3 linked regions of the Arabidopsis thaliana genome follow. The protein of the gene in region 1 interacts with the protein of each later gene in a pairwise test. Each region holds a gene or a part of one and is shown on either strand. Other genes may lie near its edges.

The links. Proteins that work in one complex are often made in the same cells at the same time.
Region 2: the proteins of AT1G68185 (region 1) and PGM3 interact in a two-hybrid assay, tested with the Arabidopsis thaliana proteins (one study listed by BioGRID).
Region 3: the proteins of AT1G68185 (region 1) and AT3G06660 interact in a two-hybrid assay, tested with the Arabidopsis thaliana proteins (one study listed by BioGRID).

Annotation. Positions count from the first base shown.
Region 1 is NC_003070.9:25,553,206-25,560,370, reverse strand, and holds AT1G68185 (Ubiquitin-like superfamily protein), read right to left. Parts: upstream 3,989-7,165; 5' UTR 3,968-3,988; coding exon 3,827-3,967; intron 3,713-3,826; coding exon 3,637-3,712; intron 3,549-3,636; coding exon 3,490-3,548; intron 3,296-3,489; coding exon 3,165-3,295; intron 3,029-3,164; coding exon 2,818-3,028; intron 2,366-2,817; coding exon 2,198-2,365; 3' UTR 2,191-2,197; exon of another isoform or gene 2,105-2,190; 3' UTR 1,838-2,104; downstream 1-1,837. Other genes in the region: BBX27 (B-box zinc finger family protein), read right to left, coding at 36-296, 580-1,002, 1,080-1,151; AT1G68180 (RING/U-box superfamily protein), read right to left, coding at 4,746-4,768, 4,871-5,555; UMAMIT23 (nodulin MtN21 /EamA-like transporter family protein), read right to left, coding at 6,113-6,278, 6,374-6,525, 6,664-6,822, 6,927-7,165.
Region 2 is NC_003070.9:8,216,521-8,226,316, reverse strand, and holds PGM3 (Phosphoglucomutase/phosphomannomutase family protein), read right to left. Parts: upstream 6,510-9,796; 5' UTR 6,372-6,509; coding exon 6,294-6,371; intron 5,706-6,293; coding exon 5,624-5,705; intron 5,537-5,623; coding exon 5,481-5,536; intron 5,128-5,480; coding exon 5,014-5,127; intron 4,879-5,013; coding exon 4,816-4,878; intron 4,671-4,815; coding exon 4,551-4,670; intron 4,465-4,550; coding exon 4,364-4,464; intron 4,259-4,363; coding exon 4,199-4,258; intron 4,098-4,198; coding exon 3,998-4,097; intron 3,905-3,997; coding exon 3,747-3,904; intron 3,660-3,746; coding exon 3,564-3,659; intron 3,455-3,563; coding exon 3,391-3,454; intron 3,305-3,390; coding exon 3,223-3,304; intron 3,141-3,222; coding exon 2,962-3,140; intron 2,871-2,961; coding exon 2,794-2,870; intron 2,684-2,793; coding exon 2,551-2,683; intron 2,439-2,550; coding exon 2,322-2,438; intron 2,203-2,321; coding exon 2,131-2,202; 3' UTR 1,770-2,130; downstream 1-1,769. Other genes in the region: AT1G23180 (ARM repeat superfamily protein), read right to left, coding at 6,802-7,433, 7,508-7,698, 7,796-7,836, 7,917-7,970, 8,073-8,169, 8,251-8,909, 9,128-9,343, 9,434-9,793. UniProt on the Arabidopsis thaliana protein: Catalyzes the reversible isomerization of alpha-D-glucose 1-phosphate to alpha-D-glucose 6-phosphate. The mechanism proceeds via the intermediate compound alpha-D-glucose 1,6-bisphosphate.
Region 3 is NC_003074.8:2,099,303-2,106,677, reverse strand, and holds AT3G06660 (PAPA-1-like family protein / zinc finger (HIT type) family protein), read right to left. Parts: upstream 4,363-7,375; 5' UTR 3,967-4,362; intron 3,650-3,966; 5' UTR 3,619-3,649; coding exon 3,319-3,618; intron 3,227-3,318; coding exon 2,710-3,226; intron 2,631-2,709; coding exon 2,530-2,630; intron 2,440-2,529; coding exon 2,350-2,439; intron 2,275-2,349; coding exon 2,147-2,274; intron 2,050-2,146; coding exon 1,902-2,049; 3' UTR 1,770-1,901; downstream 1-1,769. Other genes in the region: AT3G06670 (binding protein), read left to right, coding at 1-17, 101-223, 290-770; AT3G36659 (Plant invertase/pectin methylesterase inhibitor superfamily protein), read right to left, coding at 5,695-6,489.

The DNA of each region.
Region 1 (7,165 bases):
CTAAGACTATGTACTGTGTGATATTTAAACCAAACCTGATTGTTCTTATTGTATGGACTTTTGCATTCCCAAAAGGAATCACCAAGTGTGGAAGATGAGGACAAGTGTGAAAAATCAACAACCAGCTCTTTTCCGGTCTGCGGAAGATCGATTAACTGTTCTTCGGGTTTCTTAGGAAGCTCCAATGGAGATGGATCACCTCGTTCTGTCAAGGAAGAACTACCATTCTCTTCCCTGAGCTGAACCTTCTCCAATTCAAGAATCTGTTCCAAGATAAAACCACCTTCTCTTTGCACCTGAAACCATCAAAATCATCGGTACATCAGCTATAAAGAGATCTATTCATCTACAAAGCTATAAAAAGATATACAAAAAAAAACTAAAGAGCGTATGGTCCAGTGGTTTGTTCAAGTAGGTGAAAGACTCGCCCTATGGTTTAAGGCCACAGATCGTTGTGGTTCTCTTTTGGCCATTGTAGACGGCTTTCTACAAGCCTCGGGTGTATTAGTCTACTTTCGACCCGAGATCTTACACCGGTTATAAGAAACTGTAAATATGTATACAAAACAAGCATCAAACCTTAGGTTTAACCATTCGAAAAGATTGCTCTAACGAAACATCATCATCGTCATCCATAACTCGAAAACCCCACATAACCGCGAAATCTTTAGCAGGAGGACAACCCGTATAACACCTCAAATCCCTTCTACGATGCTCAGAAGAGCCACCACCATGAAACTTATCATTACATCCATGGCAAAGAAACATTTTATGGTCAAAACATCGAACAACACAAGGCTGATTCTTACAAGAATCACATAAAACCGTACGTAAATGCCGTCCCGAGAGTGAATTAGCTGAATGAACCTTTGCATCACATGTTAAACAAAGATTTGCTGTATCAGCTATACAATAAACCACTGCTCTATACGCTTTACAAAACTCACATACTCTTTCCATATTCTCAATTATTATTATACATAACATATAAAAGATTCCTCCCTGTTACATCAAAAAAAATATCAAATTAGTTTATTAGAGATCACAGATCGAACAAAAAGAGAAGAATAAGTTTTTACCGATAAGAGAACTAAAAAGATCAGAGATTGGTGACAAAAGCTTCTTCTGTCTGTTTTTAGGAGCTTTTTCATATTATCTGAACAAATCCGTCGGTTTGGTTAGGATGACGTGGCAAAGCCACGTAGATATTTGGGTGGGGACTTAGAAAAAATGGTGATTACGTTATCCGTATGCACGTGAGATATGGGGAAGCCACGGACGTATGTGCCACTGTGACAGCTTCTTCTTTCACGACCCATCATCTCTAACTCTTAAAGCTTAGCTTTTCCTAACCAATTATTGTATGCCACATGTCGTAGCTAACTCCGGACCAAACAAAAACTACAATTATCCGACTTGGTTAGTTCGTTAATTGGTTTTATTATTTTTCACATGAACTAAAACACATAAATAGTACTTGAATGTGTTAATTCTTATAATTTTACATTTTTAAGAATTTTATTAATGACTAATGTGATGTTTTCTTTTCTATCAAGATTATATTAAAAGCTAATGTTACAAAACAAGAAATATTAGAGTCATGAGACTATATTTGAATATAAAAAATATCAGTGTAAAACGACATTTACTAAGAAACAAAGGAAAAAGTACACTAAACCGAATTTAACCGATTTACCATTGATTCCAGTTTTTGTCAGTTAGTAAAAAGCAATACTGATTATACATACAATAGTTTTAGTTTTGTCTTAGATTAGTGAGATATATATTTATGTTTCTCAAGAGATAGAGAAAGCATAACGATTAAAACCAAACAAAAGTTTAGTTAGATTTTTAGATTGGATTCAATAGGATTAGTTAAAATCAAAATGGTTTGGTTTACCTTATATATTATACACGCCTAATAAAGAGTGACAGAAAGAGTGAAAGAAAGAAAGAAACAAAATTCCGATAAAATGAGAAAGGTCACAGATACAAACACCAGATGTTAGCAGAGAGATCCCTTCCCATGCCCATGTTGATGTACAAAACTCTGGTTTTTCGCAAAAGATGGAACAGATTTGACATTCCAGATTCCGATTAGCGCCTGACTTGAATTCAATCGAAGATAATGAGTTATCATCATATCACAATAAGAGCAAGAAGAAAGATGTGGAGGACTTCATAAGTTACCTATTTGTCAAGTTTTTTTGGTGTGCACTTCAATCATATCATGATCCTCCATGCCAAGTTCAGAAGGAGTGGTTGATGGATCAATCTTATCACCGTCAAAAATAAATACAAGATTTTGCGGGTCAAGCTTAGCTTTATCTGTATACAGTTTGATAACCCTCTCAAATTTCTCGTCCTACAAGAAAATGGTAAATACCAAATCAACATTCTCATATTTTACAAGCTTTAACAGAATATGCATATCTATTAATGAGCGGCTCATTGTATGACAGAGAGCAAGCAATATGTATTCTGTGTGTAAATGCTATGTGGTGATGATACATTGATAAGAACATGAACTCGTTCTCTAGTTTATTAGATGAACTCAAAGAATAGTTTAAAGATCCATCAACTAATACACGTCTCAAATACTCGACCCCATTCAATGATTTCTTTAATCCCTGTATTTATACTCTTGCTTTCCTAGAAAGCTCGAAATATCTAGCTATCTAGATAGTAGCGAAGGTGACATAACAACTAATTCTTATCTCTACTAAATATCTAGTATCTAGCTAGAAAAAGTTTGGATAGTAAGCTTATTGTCGATGGAAGGTTGGATAGTAAGTGGCAAGCAGTGAAAAAACTTACCGCAAACACCCGGAGTGTCTTCTGTCCATCTTTGTCCTGTATTGTAATAACAATCTTGGCCCTGTCATTCGTAGGCTCTGATGGTAACTGAGCAGCAGTCTCTGAAGATGGATTGCGAGATTCTTCAACTTCCCTTTTAGCAGACTCCTCAACTTCCTGCATCACATCTCCTACAGTTTTTGTAAATGACATGAGCTCCATCTTCTTCGACCTACGTTACATATTTCATTTATAATCAAATTGTAACACTGGGACTCTTTCCGGATAGCAAATAACACTACCATAGCCTCTAACAGCAACATGGGAAGCTTAGAGATGAGAAATACTCAAAGACATACAAAAGTTACCTCAATGCTTTAATAGTTGAATCTTCAACAGAGTCTTTACTTTTGTCGAAGATAACCTTTGGTGGAGGAAGCAACCAATCGTCATCACCCGTAACTTCAATCACTTTCACATCATCATCTAACTTCTCAACCTATATAAAAAGATTCAAGTTCCAAAAGGAATGATGATAGATTCAACCTATGAATTGTGAAGTACATAATCGAATTGTTCCTTCACTGACATTGATTCAAAACTCTTTACAAGCCCACAATACCAAAAGTATCTATCAAGTTAACACAAAGAGCTCAATGAGACAACAACCAATCAATAAAAATCAATTCTTACTGTTTGTGAAGTTTTCGCTTTCTTCGGAATTGGCGTCACCGAGGCATCATCATCATCATCTACAAAAATTCAAGCGATAATAAAGGATTCATCTTTATCACTGTCGAGTGTCGAGCTCAGTGACCAAATCAAATAATCGAAACTCACCATCGATACAAACGAAATTCGCTGGCTGAACACGACGATAATCAAAAAGTGGCTCTAGATCTTCTCCTTCACCTCCCTGATCATCAATCAGTAATACAAATTCAGAAAAACTCAGGCATCAACACAATCCCACAACAGACAAAATTAGGGTTTTAAAAATTGGGGTATTGGGAATTCATAAAATTCTCACCATTGTTAGCGAATTTGGATCTTCTTCGTCTGTTTTATCAGAAACCCTAGATGAATTTGGACAGATTTTGAATTTGAATATTATTTTGCTGTGATTTTTGAAAAGACAAAAGTGATTTTGAATTTTGATGAAGAGAGGCATCGGCGATTAAGAAGCACCTCTTGGGTTTATTATTTGTTTGTTGGGCCTGTTTAGTGGGCCGAGTTTTCATTGGTTATCACACTTTTTTTTCAGATTGGTTTAATTGGGTTGGGTGACCATCATAGTTGATTGCGTATTTGTCATTTGAGATCTGTTGTACTTTAGTAGAATTTTGTTGGTATTTTTGAATGCATGACAATAAAAGATGGTACAACAAGACTCATCCTAAGTCTTTAGTAGAGAAGTCCATGGGAAGCTCTACATGAAGGTTATAGTAAACCAAACCGAGAAGGCACAAACTCGGCTTTACAAAATCAGGCCAAAAATAAGATAACCGGCAAATAAAAAGGGTTGGTGAGGCTATTCAAACCATACCTAAGTAAATTGTGTTCGATGATCACGAGAGAGAAAGAAACAAAGAAAGGGAGACAAAGCGTTTTCAGAGACTATGAGAGATCATGGAACCCTAGCTAGTAGAGTAGAGGACTAACCTTATTACCAAGATTTTTTATTTACATGTTGTTACAACTTACAAATGAATAAAAGATAATTAATGCAAATATAGTCTTGTTAATGCCAAAGTTTTGTTTCATGAAATAAACACGCTTCTAGCCTTTCATGATCACCCTCTTTGTCTCTTTATGTAGTTTTTTTTTGTCGTTTCTTATTGATGTGTGTTTCTTCTCCTCTCTCTCATAAGTCATAATACACTTAATATGTAGTCAATAATATTCCTAGTTTCATACATTCTTGTTTGCAATTCTTTAATTTTTTTTTGTCAAGAGTTTGTTATTCTTATATCTGCGAAATTGTATATATTTTTAAGAGTTAAATATCATAGTCAAAACCCGTATAAGCATAATAGAAAAGCCATGAAAGCTATATCGGGAGGTGGAATCTTACCTATGAGATTATGTACCCAATCAATCATCATTCGGAGAGGCCACAAAGAACAAACCCGAGTCCGAAACCGATTTGATCGATCATTGTCGATGTTGTAAGACCCTCCTTCGTCTACGTTACTCTCGGAAACACCTAAGTTAACCTCAAAACGACAAATGGGACAAGTGTTGTGAATGTTCAACCAAGACACAATGCAGCTTGAATGGTACAAATGCAAGCATTTCAATTCTTTTCCTTCCTCTCCAACTTCAAATTCCTCCTTGCATATCGCACAAACCTTCTCTTTCACCAAATCTTCATCCGTGATTATCACCGTCCTTACAGCCTCGATGGCGGATTGCGAGGCTGGTGGTGGACCGATTTGTACACTAGGCATGACATCAGCGAATTCCTCGTCAGTATTATAAACTAGATCATCATGATTGAACCGGTTACTTCTTGGTTCGTTGATAAGATGGAGAGTGATCCAATCGGTATCACTATCCCAATAAGGTCGGCTTGGCCTCATAATGTCAAGCTCATCGTGAAGATTGATCTCTCTAGAACAGAAAGGACATATGGGACCATATAGACCAAAGCTTCTTAGCCTAATGGTACGGCTACAATGGCGACAATAGAAGTAATGGAACGTTCTTGTTCTTCTTGTTCCATTCACAATAACTCTTGGACGATAAGCAGATGTCATGTTTTCAATCTTTTTATTTTTTCGTCGGTAGGATCTTTATATATGCATTTATAATTAAATACGTGTACATGTTTTCAAGAAGAGGCAAGACAAAGCCTATACGAGTGAATGAGTTATTCTTTTCTGTGTTTAGGTTGGTGTCGTATGGTCTCTGCTATGTCAACTTGCGAATCTTTTAGTGATTTGTCTTGTAGGAATCAGAGATTCAAAAGGATGCTTGGAGAATCAATTACGATAAAGGGTTTTAGGTTTGGAGGAGAGTTATTTGAGCGGCCCATTATGGGCCCATTCCAACTTACTAGTTCATGTACATATTGTATGACTCAGAAGTGAAATTAATTAGACCCAAATAAGATTTTACAATTTATTATTGCTCGTTAAAAAAAATCCATGCAACATCTTATGAAGTTGTGGATGTGGTAGTACAAAGGTCATATGCACATAATAACTTACATAGATGGTTCAATAAATCATCGTTAGATAGAATAATAATGTTAATATTCACTTAATCAAATATACTAACAACAAGTCGTTCAACATATATAAATGATGGTTGATCAAGGGACATTTGTACTTAATGTTGGGAGATTGTTGACTGTGATATCTTTGCTAGTCTTATTTGTTTCATTATGATCCGATGTCGTAAGCATACTCTTCATTTCCTTGTTTTTAGCCCATAGCACAATGTATAATGCTCCAACGATAATCACTGTACCAATTATGCTGTAATGTTTTCAAGTAAAAATAAACCATATTATATATACATACGTATATCAAATCCATTTCCACAAAACAATACAATATACATGAGTTTGTACCTCCCCAAATGAAGTGTTTCATCTAGCAAAAATGATCCAACAAGAGCTACGATCACAAGTCCTACAGGGCTAAATACCGATACAAATAACGGTCCTCTAGACTCAATGCACCATGCGTTGACTGCTACCACCATCCCGGAAATCAGAATTGCCTACAATGGACAACATAAAGCACATATATTCAAGGCCAACCTAAATGAATCTTCACACATGTATAGACTTGTATGAATTTGTAATTAGACAACAAGACATATATATATATACTTAATAATGGATGGATTGATATTTACCGCATAAGCAATGGTTAATAGTCTGATATTCCATCCTAATCTCCATTCATCTAAATCGTGTTCCCAGCAAAGAGCGACAAGCATAGCCACTACGCCTCCCATCATGTTCATTAGAGTCGCGTTCCAATAAGGCCCTCCAAATTGTTTGCTTATCTTAACCTATAAACAAAACAAAAACAAAAAAAAACACGTACATGCCTAATGCCTTAGTACACAAAACAAACACAAAAATAAGAAATCTGAAAAACAAACAAAAAACTTGCCTGCAATAAAAACCAAAGTGAGATGGAAATGTTTCCCCCAAAAACTAGAAGAGCCCCAAGGATGGAAATATGGTGAGTGGTAGCATCACGTGAGGAGTCACGTGGTTGGTTCACTAGGTTAACGTGAGTTGACCATAGTCGGATCTCTATTCCTCTATAGAATATAAAGACAAGAGCTCCACCAACACCAAACAATGTTCCAAAAACCTTAGCCAGCCCTACGCTCGATCCAAGCCGTA
Region 2 (9,796 bases), about 17 Mb from region 1:
AAAAGGCTAGCTTTCACATGAGTTTCGTGTGAGCTTGACCAAATTAAAGTTTTTGATGAAAAGTTTGATTAAGTCCGTCTTTTGTGGGAATTGTAATATGTTTTCTCACTTAACAAGTTTTGTTATTACTCTATCGTTTAATTAATGGTTTAGGTTTACAAAAGCGACATTTTCTGCAATTTCTGTCACGTAGTTAGATCATAACAATTAAGCATGAGTTTAACCAAAAAGTATGTAAATCTTACGACTAACTTTCAAATTCCTTGTTGACAATAGAAAAAAAAAATTTCCAACATATATATTTTGGTAACTGAATGCTAGAGATATCTACGTAACATACAGTTGAGAAGATCTATTTACACATGTAGTTAAGCATTTTCACATTCAAATTTCTATTTCATTTGCATGGAAAGAACATTTACTGCCAATAAACAACAAGTATAATTCTGATCATGTCATATTATTTCACTACAGCAGGAAAAAAATCCCACACTAACAATGGTGATAGACGGCGGTATAACTAATATCTCATTAATATTTTTGTCGACATCGATGAGGAAATATACATCTTTTAATTCGTCATTAACTTGTTACTATATTTTGGTACTAATTGTTTGGTATTCCATCATTATTTAATTTGTACCAAAAGAAATATACGTTACTTGTGAAAGATTGGGTGATTTATTAAAAAAAATCAAAATCAATTCAATTGTAAATACGAATGTGAGTGTTGGAAATGTAAGTGAATGAGCTACATTTTCATAGATGTTAATGTTACGAAAGACTTGTCTTGAATTCATATCGACAATGAAATCTTGAAGTTTTAAGAAAAATTGTATAACTTATCTCAAAAAAAAATATTTGCCAACAATATGGATATATGCATAATCGTGAAAGTGATAACAAATTAAGAGTACAAGCTAAGACCACTAGTTGAAATCTAGAGATGATAGATGGGGGTGGGTACGTACTATTGGGAGTGGGAGTTTGTCTTCCATCGATTCGAGGTTTTTTGTTACTTAAAAGTCGACTTAATTACTTCATCTATGATTCACTAGAATCAGTTTTGAGTCACTATATAGGTTTTGTTTTGCTTATTGTGTGTTATGAATGTGATAGACCGAAGTAGTGCGGGTAGTGGTAGTGGTAGTTCGTTAAGATGAGTTTGGTGTTTTTGGACATATCAACAGAACATGCTAACTCTCTCACTAGCTAGCTTTTTCATATGCATAGCTTTTTCGAGAAAACAAAATATATTGCACGATTATATAATCAAATTCTTTTTTTTCTCACGTTCATATATTATGTATATGAATATGATTTATACGACCACTCAATTAGTCACATGTTATTGATACTTGACAGAACTCATTATGTCTGAATTTGGATTTGAAATATACTGATAGGTCAATGATACAAATATTTGATACTAAAACTCAAAAGAGAAAGAAATCGAGTATAAGAAAGATATACTTACACGAAATAAAGGATAGTGTGGTTTAAGTGGAGTAGAAAGTTGAATGAAGCTTCGTTCTAGATATGGAAGGTCCGGTGGGAGAATTAGGGTTGTGTACGACTCTAACCAAATCTTTGGGTTTCCTTGTTCCAATTCTCTATATTCGTTTCGAAAGCAACACATACATATATTGAATCTTCCATTTATTCTCTTTCGTTTTCAAGTTCGACGTCTCTCCCACTTTTCAAAAGAGAAGTAATAAAAAATGGCTTTCGTCCATATATTATGGTATCATGCATTGAAAACCATGCAACATCAAACCAAAACACGAGAGGGTGCATTTTCATGAGTACCCATTTGAAGTAATTAGACAACTCTGAGATTTGTCAATGGATGGTCGTAGCATGCTTTGAGGTATCAATGAACTTAGATGTTAAGAGAGTATACTCGCCAAAATACGGAAACAAGAGAGAACAAAACTGAGAAAGCCAAATCCGTACAAGTATAAGCCTCACAACAACTCAAGAAATCAGTCTTGGTTGTTCAGAATTCTGATGAGAAATACAAATTCTCCCTGAGACTAATTATTCTTATAATGTAACTTGGATAGTATAAGAAGAAAACATCATATAGACGAAAAGGTGAATGGTTTGAGTCGTTGAGCTTGACCCTTCTTATGTTATGACGGTGGGGGCTGATCGGCCTGTGAACTCTTCCATCTTCGACAGCTTTAGAGCTAAGTCAACCTGTGAATCACACATCAACAATTACGTATTTGATTAGAGAAAACCCCTTTGGTATTAGCTAAATGGTAATGAGTCGGAAAACAGTTTATGGATTTGAGGTTTTATAGTAAGCAACTGACCAGAGGAGACAAAGCTTCCTGGGATTCTCGGCCGGTTTTTGAAGCATCCTTTTCGTACTGTTCGATGTAAAGCCGGATGGTTGCTCCTTCTGAGCCAGTTCCAGAGAGACGGAAAACCTTCATATGGTTTCAGATATAACAAGAGAGGATTAGTTAGTTTTGATTTCTATCACTTTGTTCTTAGCTGGAATGTATCCAAGCTCAAATACCGAAGAAAAAGATGACTTACAAGTCGTGATCCGTCTTCAAACAAGTAACGGATTCCCTGGTGCTTCGAAATGGATCCATCAACTGGATCTTTGTACTCGAATTCATCAGCACTGGCGACGCTTGCCACGTCCGAACGAATTCCTTTCACAATCCTGAATAAAATCAAGAGAGAAGAAGAGGTTAGAAAAACAGAGTACCAAACTGATGAGTACGTGTTCAAGTATAAAAGGAAGGGATTTCAGAGAAGTGGAAGTGTGTGTACTTGTTAACTTCAGGAATTGAAGATTGCAATTTGACCAAATGCTCCATCAGTTCCTTAGCTTTACCTGCGTCTACATTCTTTAGAGACAAATTTTGAGATGTCAGTAAGGGTACTGTTTCTTCCATATAATATGGTATAATTACAATCACCAAACTTAGCAACTTTTACCTCATAGTCGTAACGAGTGTAATAGTGACGACCGTAGGTAGCCCAATGCTGGCGGACAATGTCTTCAACTGACACCAGTTTAGCGTTACCGTCAATATTTCCCTTGTTCTTGTGAGCAAGTATAGACATCCATGCAAGAACTGCCCATATTCCGTCTTTCTCACGGATATGATCCGAGCCTGTGAAAGATCTTTCTTTCAGAACTGTATAGGTTGTTTTAAAGTTATGAACAGATGTGTGAGTGTGGAAATAGAAACTGACCAGTTCCAAAACTTTCTTCTCCACAAACAGAACACATCCCAGCATCCATCAGATTACCAAAAAACTTCCAGCCTGTTGGAACCTGATATGTGATTTAATAGAGATATGAAATTAAATTATGTAGTTAGGAGAAAAGAAGCTGGATAGAAGTTGCACGGTGACATGTACCTCAAAGAACTTCAAATTCAAGCTTTTTGCAACGACATCAAGAGCAGCTGAGGTTGGCATGCTCCTAAAACAAGAAGTGGAAGTTACAAAATAATCCACAAAAAAGATATATTAAAAGAGTTGTATACACAGAATTCTACTAGAAGTAAAAAAAGAGCCCAGGTGTATAATACCTTGCAACACCTTTCAAACCAGAGCTGAAGTACGGGATGGCACCAATAGCATTTGCAGCAATTATGGCAACTGAATCCGAAGGAGTTACAAAGAACCTACAAATGAAGAGATACTTTAAGTTTAAAAGTACTTGGTATACTAGTTCCATGGATGTATCTCTCTTGAAAACGTCAGTAAGCTACCTTTTACCAAGGATCATGTTACGGTCTGCATCACCATCAGCAGCGGCGCCAAACTCTGGAGGTTCACCTCCAGTGTCGGATTTACCTAATCCCATTCGTGCCACAAGCTCCTTAGCATAGGTCAAATTGGGATCCGGATGCCCTCCTCCAAAGTCCTCCTGCAAATCGTTGTATTGTGGTAAATATTGAGCCTGGAGGTGTATTTGTAATCATTTATGGAATAGCGTTTCTTGGTTAGACAAAAATAAGACCTTGGGAGTGCAGTTCAATAATGCGCTTTCTTGCGCACCGAGTTCTTCGACAAAGATGCGATGTGCATAGGCTCCAGCAACTCCATGCAATGCATCATAGCTTCATAAAACAAAGTAAAATATAACATTACAGTGATGGAACATATATTACAAAACTTAACTCAAATGGAAAAGGTTTGGGAACCAATGTTAGTTACATACCAGAATGTAAACTTTGGAGATGATAGCAATTTCCGGATGGCTTCAAAATCGAAGATTGACCTTGAAGGAGCGAGAATTTTTCTTTAGAAAGATCATAAAAATTGCACATAGACCATAGAGGGAGCAGATTCCAGAATCATGCTTTTAAATTGAGGGACCACTCACTTCATTAATTTAACGTAGTCATCTGCGGGATCAAAAACTTCAACATCAAATTTTCCTTCAGGTCCTTCAAAACTGGTTACACCAACAGCAGAAATATCAACCTGTCGCATTCATCAGATAGACCAGATCAACTATGATTCAACAAAAGACAGATGATGGAAATCTATAAGAGGATTCTTAAGAATACATTGGGTAGATCTTGTGCTATTGGGTACTCCTTGATTGTCTTAGTGTTCTCGTAAATTTTATCAGTGATTGATTCAGGAGCAGGTCCTCCATTTTCCATATTGTATTTGATTCCAAAATCCTGTACAAGGGGTATGGAATCACCTCTTAGTCTTATTATCCATCTAGATATCTTATTATTAAAAAAAGAACAAATAAAGAGATACAAAACGAATAGTTCAAATGAAAGGATAGCACAGTAGAGATGGAACAAGAACAGAACGGACCTCAGTAGGGCCACCAGGATTGTGGCTTGCTGTTAAGATAAATGCTCCAGTTGCTTTCGATCCCTGTAATCGGAGACTGGGGTTAAGTAACTCAAAACCATCATTACATTTTGCGTCATGCACAAACATAGCAAATAACCAAAAAAAACAAAAAACAAAATGTCACTACAACCATGAGCATAGAGAAAGAAATCTCACATCAGCCCCTGATCTTTCACGAATCACAGCTGATACAGCAGGAGTTGATAACAGAGTGTTTTTACCAACCCACACACGTCGTACACCATTAGCTGCTGCCATCTTAATTATGATCTGTTAAGATACAAAATAAAATTGTATGAAAAGCAGTAAAACATCTTCATCTGTAACAGTATGAACCGGATTTGTAATAGGAGTAGATCAAACAAACTTAAGTTTCAGAGATTTCAAAGTCAAACAAAACTTTAACTTCTATAAACCTCTAATCTCTCTATAGAGGTTTCGATGCAAATTTTAGAGATGAACACAAAGAAAAATAAGCAAGGCATTGATGATAATAGCAGGCCTTCCTAACACAGGAGTTCCCTCCAAAACATTGTAAATACATGAGCACTAATTCATAATTCTATGGATACGCCAATTACATTCACACAGATCCAGAAGACAGGGAATATCATCGGCCTTACCTGAACAGCATCCTTTGAGTAATAACGACCATCACCAGAGACCACAAGTGTGGCACCTGCACATATGAACAATAAACACTCATGAATTTTTCGAATGAGCAGATATCTCTGAGAAGCTAAGATGAGTATGAAAAAAATCTCACCTTTAACTTTCTCCGCCGTAAGAGCATTGAATGTTGCTTGGACAAAATTCTCTAGATAATTGGGTTGCTTGAACACTTTCACCTACACAGTTAGAAAAAAAAAAAAAAATACTAATCAGAGATACAAAAAGATGCTAGTTTGATATCTGCAGAGAGTAGAACAAACAATCGACACTCGATTGATTGGATAAAATGATCAACCCAAATTTCTTTTATCAAAATATCTGAAACAGATCTGATCAGTGAGTCTCAATAAACGTCATTGCAGATCGTATATACGTTAAACGAAGATCTGACAATAACAACTAGGCTCTTCCCTAGTTTCAATTATACACAAATTCAATCCATATAGTCTCCATTTCGCTACACCAACTCAAAAAACGTAATTTCAAGCTCTATCAAATCAACATTCACCACATAGAAGCGTCCCAAACATATACTCAAATCAAATATAATAAACGTGATCTCGAACTTGATCCAAATAAAATAACGAAAACGAAATTTAAAATTTGTCATCATTCACTAATCAATATAGATTAATGCATAGATCAAATCTAATCAGATGGTCAATCTCACTTCAAAATCACACTCAAGAAAATCTAAACAGATCTGATCCAGATGCAACAATTCGATTTCGTTTGATTCAGAAGACAAGGATCGATCAACGAACCTTCTTACGAAGACCAGAAGTTCCTGGTTTCTGGCCATCAATAGGAGATGTGGATACGGTAGAAACCTTGAAAACCATATTCGCTTTGAGAAGAACAAAGATCAAAATTTGGACGCAGAGAGAGTGATGATGATAAAAGCAAGCAGCTCTTAAATAAATTACGCAAAAGAGAAGCTTGCTTAAAAGCTAAACGATCCCAAGACACGTGTAACCAAGTGAGTGAACTAGAACGTTTCTCTCGTTTTCACTGACACAGTAAGAAAATCTCAGCCGTTGGATTGTATTTTCAGATTTTAAATTCATTTTTGCTTGCGTAACATTTCAAAGATTAAATATTTGATTGATCATGTGTAATCTCTAGAATATGGTAATAGTAATATACGTGCTACGTAATCCGATTATCTTAATGTAATTAACTTTTCGTATATTCGTCTCACATGACAAATCATACATTATATTATTCTAATTGATTCCAAAATTTTACATGACAATAATCTGTAAAAATGTCTTAAACGGGTAAATTTCTGAGTAACCGAAGAGCTTTCTCCCATTGTGGTCGTTGAGACATAACGATACGTCTCAATACTGGTACAGCTCCTGCTCTTATGATGGCTGTGTGGTTCTCACTGTCCATGGTTAAGTTGTACAATACTGACAAACTCGCTTCAACGCACCGCTCGTTCCTTTCTTCAAGAAGCTTAACCAGCGGTTCGATACCTCCTTGTGAAGCAAGTGTTTGGATAGATTCTGGAACTCCCTCGGAGACTATCTTGTTCAGTTCTAAAACCGCTGCTTCTTTCGTTTCTGGTGATGAGGAAAAGCTCATTTGTTCCACGAGGCTCGGGATCGTTTTGTACAGAGTTACCTCAAGATTGATCGGATTGTTGAGGGATTGAGAGGGAGAGGAGAGAGCGGTGAGTTTGACAAGACAAGCGGCAACCCAGTCTTTGTAGTGTAGAGGGAGGCTTGATCTTAGGATCTTCCTTACTAATTCTATGAAGACCGCGGTATCTATTGTTTGGCGAAAGGACTCGGAGTCAAGAAGTTTTGTCAGTAGCCTTGAAGCAGCGGAAATCGTCAAACCAGCTTCTTCTAGCTTAAGCAGATGTTTCTCTAACTCCTCAGCTTCATTCTCAGGTTCTGCATTTCCATAAAAAGTATTGTATGCTGTTATAAAATTCAAACAGAGTTATATCAAAAGATAAGTTTTGTACCTTCCAGGACTTTCTGCCGGAGAGCAAGATCAAGAACAGTTGTGATATCCTTGGAGATGATCGTGTCCATGTTTGGATTACTGATTATACCAAACTCGATGACAGAGATTGCGTTTCTTAGCAGGTTCGGAGAGGCTGTTTTCGCAATCTGGACGAGCCGAGAAAAAACAGCAGCGTCCAGAACTTCCTTTCTGTTCATTCCCATCCGATGTTTTGAGTAATTAATACTTCTAAAAAAACAAAAAGAATGAATGAGCTGAAGATAGGAAGATCGAGAAGAAGACTGACCTGGAGTCTGCTTTTGATCCGTTCACCGGTCCTTCATAAAACTGTAGCATGTAGAGAAATAGCATAAGCCAAATGAAAGCAGATTTAATGTATAATAATCAACCTTGGAAAATAAACACACCTTGGATTCCATTTCCTTGCTAGGATCTAAGATATGAGCAATTATATCCAGAACCTGCATAACATAGTTCACAAAATACCATTTCACGTCCAGTTATTCCATAATAGCCTAGACAAAGATATCAAAGAACAAAGGAAGAAGAAAATGAAGTCATACGTGTTCTGTAACGTTTAGTGAGATCTCTGGCTGCTTCAGAAGATTAATAAGAAACCATACTGCACCTTCAGCTTCAATCCTCTGGCAAACAGTGCGGCTGCATTACAAGTATAAATAATCTCAACCTCTGAGGAGAAACTGCTTAGTAAAAATGTAAAGAATGCTCAAAGATAAACACCTAAGTGATAAATTTTTCAAGGCACGGATGACGGGTAATTTAACAGTCTCTTTGTTGTTGTTGGCTAAAAGCTGAACCAAAGGCTTTACAGCTCCGGCTTCCATGAAAGAAACCCGCATATCCTCGTTGATAGATGCATCAGCAATTGACTCTGCAGCTCTTGTAGCTGCCAATTCATCTGCCAATCCAAGAATCAAGACTAATCGAGCCACACCATCTACACAAGGAAGAAGGGTAAGCTGCTGAGATTTCCCTGGCCCTTCGGACTTAATTTCCTTCTCAAATTCAATTGCTCCAATACGGGCAAGGAACTGCTGATTTGTCCTCCCAACTATTGCTTTCATTTTGGCTTCATCTACGTCGTCAACATTCTTGTCAACATTTAAACCAAGGAGCAGCTCAGAGGCACCAAATCTTGAAGGAGCTTTTGCTGTCTGCTCAATATTTATACCATCTGGTAAACTAGGCCAAGAATACAAATCCGGTCTGAAGGACTTATAAGCGTCTGCACCAATTATGGGAATGGGTACAACTCCCTCCTCAATGACGAGAATTCTGTAGTATTCGTCTTTGGCTAGCTCCAAAAGCACATTTCTTGCTTCTTTTCTAATAACTTTAGACCCTTTGTTTTCTGTATTATCGGCTTTCAACAATTTTGCCTGGATTCCAATTGGGAAGGTAATAAGCAAGCTGAAGCATGACCAACAATTCTACGGTTTTCCATATATAATATCATTGTCCTAAAGCCTAAGTGATTCTCAGCCAATTTCACATCCTTTCAGTAATTTCAATTCTCACCCTTGACTATTAGCAATCATTTCAATCTAACATATCTAATATATTGTTAAATTCTATAAGGTGAAAAGCAAGGTCTTACCAGTTTTGGTATGACTCCTACTTCAACCAGAATCTTGTGAGTCGAGCGGCTAAGGGCTAGATTGGCCAAGACGCCACCAGCTGCTTCCTTTACGTTTACATCATCATCTTCAAGGAAACTAATGAGTAGCCTAAGGATATCAAAGTCAGCAACCTTCTCCCTAATTTCTTCATCCACAGTCAGATTCCACAGAGCACATATGCATTGTTCTTTCACCTGAAAAAAACAAAACATCGAATAATCATACATCACAATTCAAATCCAACAAGCAAAAGTATACTACTTTGGAATCATAATCCTTCATACCACTGTAGCTAGCGAAGGTCGGCTCAGTAGAGCGGTTATCTCTTCCAACGCTCCACTCTCAGCAACGGATTCTCTGTACAGATTCACAGAAGCTATAGACCGTATAAGCCCAGCAGCAGCTTCACAGGCGGAGCTGGACTCAGACTTGAGAAGATTGACAATTAGATTCAAACAACCATGAAACTGCATTATCGCATCAATACATTTCTTTCCACCCAAAGAGTACTTCCATAGCGTCTCTATCGCCTGCTCTCTATCAAGAGGATCGTTGTCCAAACCGAGCATTCCCACAAACAAGCCCACATAGCTATCACCAACACCTGAAGAGCTTTCACTCCTCACTTCTTCACCATCTTTAAGCTA
Region 3 (7,375 bases), on another chromosome or scaffold:
TATTTCAATGAAGACAGGTTTACCACTGGGTGTTAAAACAATGATTTTTATTGTATTTTCTTTACTCTTCACCTTTTCTCACTTTTTTAAATACTGACAGCGATGAAGAAGATTCAGCCTCTGCTTCTAATACACAAAAGGAAAAACCTGCTTCTAATATACAGAAAGAACAACCTAAGCCTCATCTCTCCAATGGAGTGGCTGCAAGCCCTACTTCTTCAAGGTATAGTAGTTTGTGAAATGTATATAATGCAACATCTATGTTTTAATGGATTTATTGCTTCTATAGTCCGAGGTCTGGAGGCTTGGTTGATTATGAGGACGATGAAGATGATGAAGACTATAAACCTCCTCCGCGGAAACAGCCAGAAGCCTCTGAGGATGAGGAAGGCGAGCTCCTGAGGCTGAAACGAAAATCCGCTCTTGTAGAAAGAGAACAAGAGCCGTCCAAGAAACCACGGCTGGGGAAAAGTTCGAAAAGGGAAAATGTATTTGCTGTGCTATGTTCGACACTGAGCCATGCAGTGCTTACGGGTAAGAAAAGTCCAGGCCCCGCTGGATCAGCAGCCCGGTCAATAGTAGCGAAAGGAGCTGAGGATTCAAAAAGTAGTGAAGAGAATAATAGCAGCAGTTCAGATGATGAGAATCATAAGGATGATGGAGTATCGAGTTCTGAACATGAAACATCAGACAATGGAAAGCTAAATGGGGAAGAATCTCTGGTAGTAGCTCCAAAATCATCACCTGAAATGGCTGTAAATGGATCCTGAGATTTTAACACTCTGGACTCTTTAGTTGTGGCTGGGGATGGAAGGCACTCTCATGGGTGCAAATAAAACCTTCAGAGTGCAGACTGAGACATGATAAACCGCAAAAGAAAAGCTTTGGGCAACCAAACGGAGGAAGAAATGTATAGTGAGCGCCATTTGAGAGGAGGTAACGGGTTCTTCGTCCGTAGTGTTTGCAGCCGTTTTTTTTTATAATATTCATCTTTGAAAAAACTTAGCAGTCTCTGGTCTGGTCAATTGCATATTGTAAGACATGGTCTATCAGCAACTAACTCTTCTTAATTCAAGTTCCTAATGGTTTCCTTATTTTAAATCTTTCTTTTTCTGGAAATGCATCTCTCTTCGCTGTGTGTTAGGTGGTACAGCAGCCAAAGTGTGTTATATTTTTCTTTTAAAACAGTTAGCTGTTACACATGAGATATAAGGTTTTGATATTTTTGTATTCAGTTTTGGATTTGGTTTTCTATCAGGAAAAGGTTCTTTTGGTTACAAGTTCTTAATTAAATAATCTAACACAACTAGTCAACTACCATACTTGAGTCACCCACTTCCAACATTCTTAACAGGCGTGATCTAACTCATCTATGTCCTAATACTCAACCAGCTAAAGAAAAAAAAACACAGCTTGTCGTCTTCTTTGACTTTAATACATGCGTAACGCATGGTGCGTTCCATATTTTTTTGTCATTTTATTTTGACATGCTTGGGAGTGTCTCTTCTTCGCCATTTCCTTTCCCCAAAAGCCATATTCATTTCCGCTATTTTACAACGTCTGACGTCAAAAAAGACCTAAACAATTGTTGCTCTATTAAAATAATTTAAACTGTTTATGTATTTGATTCTTCGAATACTGCCAACAAAAGTGGCTGTAGTTTAGTGGTAAGAATTCCACGTTGTGGCCGTGGAGACCTGGGCTCGAATCCCAGCAGCCACAAATATTCATCTTTTTGTTTTATTTATATATTGTTGAAAAGAATCTGATTGTCTAGCAACAAAACTCGTATTGACTTTGATTTTGATCGTCCTGTTGGATATGGATATCAAGTAAACTGAAATGTAAAGGTCAATTGGACAAGAGTTAAGCAACAATTATGTGTTAAATAAGTTGAGCAATTAGCAATGAATCAGTGCTTGTTCCATCTTCTCTTGAATGGCGTTGTAACATCCGAGACTACATAATGGCAGCTTCGACTTTGAATCCCTGTACTTGTACGCTTTCTCGCAATTTGGTCCCACACATTTCTCTCGCGGAGGAGGATAACTGAAGCACACAGATCCATCAAAACACACACTTCAAATCTCACAATTCCACATATATAAATATGATTCTATAAATATATCCTCAGATGTTAGCATACCTGTACGTGACTGGCTTGAAGATATCTGGAAGACCAATGTCTTCAGAAAATGTCATAGTTGTTCCACTTGGACCAATAACCAATCTGATAGTGTTTGATGCGAGTGTGCTTGATCTTGCAGCTCTCTCCTGAGAAGAGGAAAGATGAAATCAGAACAAACAGAGAGGAGGAGTTAATAAAATTTCATCTGTAATCAAAGGTACCTGAGCTCGTTCTTCCTGTTGTTTTTTTATCTTCTCCTCTCTTTTCTTTCTACCAGAATCTTGTCCGAGTATTTTCCTGATAGCTTCAGCCTGGTGAACAAGACAAAGAAGAAGCTCTTAGATCGTCATTCGGCTTGTATTGGCATTATATATTAACCAGAAAAAATGTATCAACTTTACCTCGGCTTCTTGGGCAGCCTTCTCACACTGCATTCGCCGTCTCTGTGCAGCTTCGGCCTTCTTGGATTGTTGCTCTACCTCAGAAAGCTTCTGTTTTGGTCCTGGAATTGTTCAAGGTTTAGAGATTAAGTATTTGCAGTCATCAGTTTGATTTGAGAAAGGGAAAAAGGTGCAACTCACTTTTAGATGAGGGGCAAGGTAAGCCATCAGGGAACTCAAGAGAACTCGACCTGATGACAGAATGTGGATCCTTTCCAGATTGGAGAGCCCGAGTACGTGTAGTAGGAATTTGTCCGCTTGTTTCTCCTGCCGGGAGCGGATCAACCATTCCCATCACCGGCTTTTTCCTTCCGGACACAGCAAGTTTGTCTGATGAGAGATGTTTTCCGTCTTCCATGTCATGACCACTGCTGTGTATCCTTCTGCCTCCTTCACTCTCTTTACCTTCATGAGAGACCCCGACCCTTTTAGACTTTAACTTTACGAGGTATCTGATTTCCTCATCTCCATCATCACTGTCTGGCTCTGGATCCAATACACGTTTCTTAAGACCTCGTTTGCTCTTCTCGGACATGGACGCACCATTCTCAGTCTTAGACGGATATCCTCTAGATTGATGTATATCTCCTAGAAACAGTGTTTTCTGAACATGACCATTGCCTTTTACCTTACTTTGAAATGGTTTTTGTCCATTATCCTGCATTACTCTCGTATATCAGCAAAGAAAGAAAGCTAACAATAAGTATAATGAAGGACAAACTCAAAGCTTTTAACAGATAAGACCTTTACCAAAGCTTTGGTATAAGTACCCGCCTCAGAGTTGGTTTGCAACGTACGGGTAACACCAGCACCAAGCTTAAGCTTCACTTTCAGTTTGTTCTCACTCACAGACCCACATAAACTATTGGTATTCCTAAAACTTGGGTTAGCTTCATTGCTAAGAGCAGTGTTTGTCTGCGTTGAGGGTGGCAGAAACTTGAAACTATGCAAGCTCCCTTTAATATCGCGGGGTCGACGAGGCAGAGCGCTTCTCCTTCTCCTACCCGTAAAGCCAGCTAAAGTAGAAGCAGAACCTCCAGAGTCCTCCATTATCAGGACAAGCGTAGATGCAGCAAAATACCTGACCACAGTAAACAAGGTCAATATACACAAGTAACTGAACTATAACAACTGCATGAAAAATGTTTACTCAAAGCAATTTATGAACATAACTAAGCCTCAGAATCTGTTTTCCCCAGAGAGAAAGATAGTTTAAAATTGAACTACATGCACTTTCTCAAATTGAATTAGTCATAGCATTCTCAAAATTGAATTAGACATAGCATTCTCAAAATTGACACAAAACTAATGAAACCAGAGAAGCCAAAACCATCAAGCATCTACTCAAGTAGAATGATATCTAAACCTAAAGAACGAATAAGCATACACTAAACCCACCTCTAACAACACCTTCGCAATTAGTGCTTCTCAGTGAATTCGTTAAGAAATCCCCTAAATTCAAACGAGAATCTCACAGTAACACCAGTGTTTCGAGGGAAAGAAGAAACAAGCGGCGGGAGAGAGAAAGAGAAGTGCGAAGAAGAAGGAGAGAAAAACCCTAGAATTAGATAATGGAGTTGAGAAGAAGAAGAAGAAGAAGAAGAAGAAGAAGAAGAAGAAGAAGAAGAAGAAGAAGTCTCTCGAGAGAGGATTGGCTTTAAGTGAAGGGTAAATGTGGAAGAGATGTCCCAAAATCTTTATCTCCTCCATTTTTCTGATTTTCTCTCTTCCCTTTTTTTTTTCTTTTTTGCCTTTTTTTTTTCGGGTCTTCACTTCCATGCCGTCCCGTTTAAATATCTCCGGCGAAACGCTCATCGTTTCTTTGTCGGGGTTGTTGACTAAGACGAGCGACGATTCAGCGTTTGGGTTGGGCCCTTAAAATATTAAGGCCCAATTATTTCAAGGCTCGTAAAACATGAGCTAAACCAAACCAAATATGTGATTTCTACCGATTTCTATTAGACTTCGGTTCAGGTAAATTATTCAGTTTCTACTTTCTAGTCGGTTCAGACCTATATAATTGACTTTGATTAAAAATAAAATATTTAAGGAAAATTAAGCTAATTAAGAGATAATTAAGCTAAGTTTTTATAAATTTAAGAAACTCATGATTAAAAAAAATATTTATCTATATTCACACTTTAATTTTATTTAAGAAACACATGTTTATAAATTTGCATGAGATGTTTTATCCAATGGGTAAAGGTAGTGTTTAAATAATAAAGAAAGAGAAGTGAGAGAGATGTGAGATAGAACGAAAACGTTTTTTTTTTTTTTTTGATTTAAAATATCTCTTGACTGAAAATAAATATCATACTAAATGTCTTTCATTTATTATTATTTTTTCACTCAAATTCTCTTCATTATCTCACTATACTGATAACCCAATTGGTAAATATAGTGTAGAGTCCAATTAGCCTAAATTACATATTATAAAAAGTCTCAAAAGACTATTCACTCCCCGAACATTGTTGGTGCAAATTGTTTTTTTGCTAAATTGTAAATATCATATATATGAAAAATCAGTTTTACAAAGTTTGATAATCTAGAACATTTGTATTTTTTTGGCAAAATAAAAACAAAAAACAAAGAGCCAATTGAAAATCCGGGAGAGAAATCTTTTATATATGATATTTACAATTTAGCAAAAAAAATAATGTGCACCAACAACATTAGGAAATGAACAGTCTTTTGAGATTTTTTTTCAAATAAATTGGTGCACATTGTTAACATAACTGATATTTTTCAAATAAATTGGTGCACATTGTTAATTCATATTCAAGAAGTAACCTAACATTTGTACAATCGATTCACTTTTACCAGATTCAAAAACGAGTCGTTATCTCTACATATACATTTTTGTATATATTTATATATATATATATATATGTATATATATCACTTTGTTTCACGAGAATATAACATCCACATATGACCACACAACAATGAGATACATGATAACGTTACAGACTTACACCGTAAGCCTAAGTAGAGCTCTCACGTTCTTTACTTGGAACTTTGGATATTCGAAAACGATGTAGTACCATGTTCAAACCCAGCCAAGACCCAAATTTAAAGAAAACAAAAACACTTTTATATCCTCACGATTCAAAACGCTGTCGTATTTCACTTGATCAACGTAGAGATGGCGAGACAGTTACTAACCATCTTCGTAAGCTTATCGGCCACGTAAGCCAACGGGTTAGGCTCTCCCGATTCTTCAAAACCGTCGTTACACGTGCTGTAATCTGTCATCGCTGCGCTCAAGTTTGTGTTAACGGTGGCAATGTCACTTGACTTGACGGCGTTAACTGCATCTTCCAAATTCACAACTGCATCATCATATAACTCCTGACAATCGGAGGCGTCGACTTTTTCGACGATGGCCATGGCCGCCTTGGTCGCGGTGATCGAAGCTTGAATAGCGAGAATGAGGACGGAGGAAGTGTTTGGTTTCAGTTGAGGCGTTAAGAGAGGACTAACGGAAGATTCGCATAACGGAGGGTTATCGGTTTTGCCGCAAATGGTTTTGATCTCCGGAGATAACAATGGCGGGTTCAAAAGGCTTTTGGGAGAACTCGAAACTTTGATTCCAGATGGTGCAGCAGAGGAAGACTCCGCAGGAGCTTCTGGTGATGCGACAGGAGCCTCTGGTGACGCTGCGGGAGAGTATATATCTATCTCGACCGGAGGATTTTTTGGGGAAAATGAATCTGCTGGAGCTTCTGGAGACGCAACGGGAGAGTCTGTATATATCTCCGCCGGAGAATTTGCAGGACTAGCGATAGGTTTCATAACTTCCGGTGCCGGAGCTGGTGTCGAAAATGGAGAATCTGATCTGGATTCTACATGCGTAGAGATGGTGACCAAAATAGAAACCGTGAAGATCACGATGATCCGATAGGTTTTGTTGAACTCCATTTTTTTCCCCTTTGATTGAGAAAAAAATGGAATTCTGATTAGATAAAAGTGACCAAATGAAGAAAAGAGTTTACGGAGATCGGTGGAACGTAAATGGCGATTAAACTTTCAAGTTGTAATTAGTCATCATCTTTAAACATGGTAATTGTGAAGTTTTGCGAGAAAATAGGTCAACACGTCAATTAACACTAACGTATGTTGTCTTTAAAACCTTTGTATTCTTCAATTAACTCTAAAATCTAAGTATAGCTAGAAATCTGTTACCTTAAACCATCACCTTTTCCTCAAATTTTCTTCCCTTTGATTTTTTATTAGTATGCGTTTTTTGCTCTAAAGTTATTCTTAGAGAAATGTAGTACTAGCACCAATTCAGCTGTTGAAAGGTTTTATTCCCGTTGCTTGGATTCTCCCAAAGCACCAATTCAGCTATTGAAAGGTGTATTTGGCCGGCGCTATTAGCTTTGATCACAGTCTGTTTTATGGCCAAGCTAACACGTGATGTTATTATGTACCTTCACCAATTGGTCTTCAATGAAAGGTATCTGGTGGGTGAAAGAGTGGACAATTTGACTGACGATGTAGAGCAGGGGATAATCATCCATGGACAATGACCAACAATTACTTTTGTTCATAGTCAAGTCAATATGTTACTATATTTAGCAAATATTTAGAGAAAACCAAATTTAGAGTAGACATGTAGGATAGTGTCTTGCTTTTGACGAGATAATGGTTTAATACTCTAACTCGGTTAACAAACGTAATTATATTTCAGTCGGGTCAAACTTTTGGTTAAATACTTTAAACGCAATCACGATATATATATATCGCGATTGATGATTATTTGGTGTTCATGTTCTTGGCGTGTAGCTTCAACGTGGATGCTCGT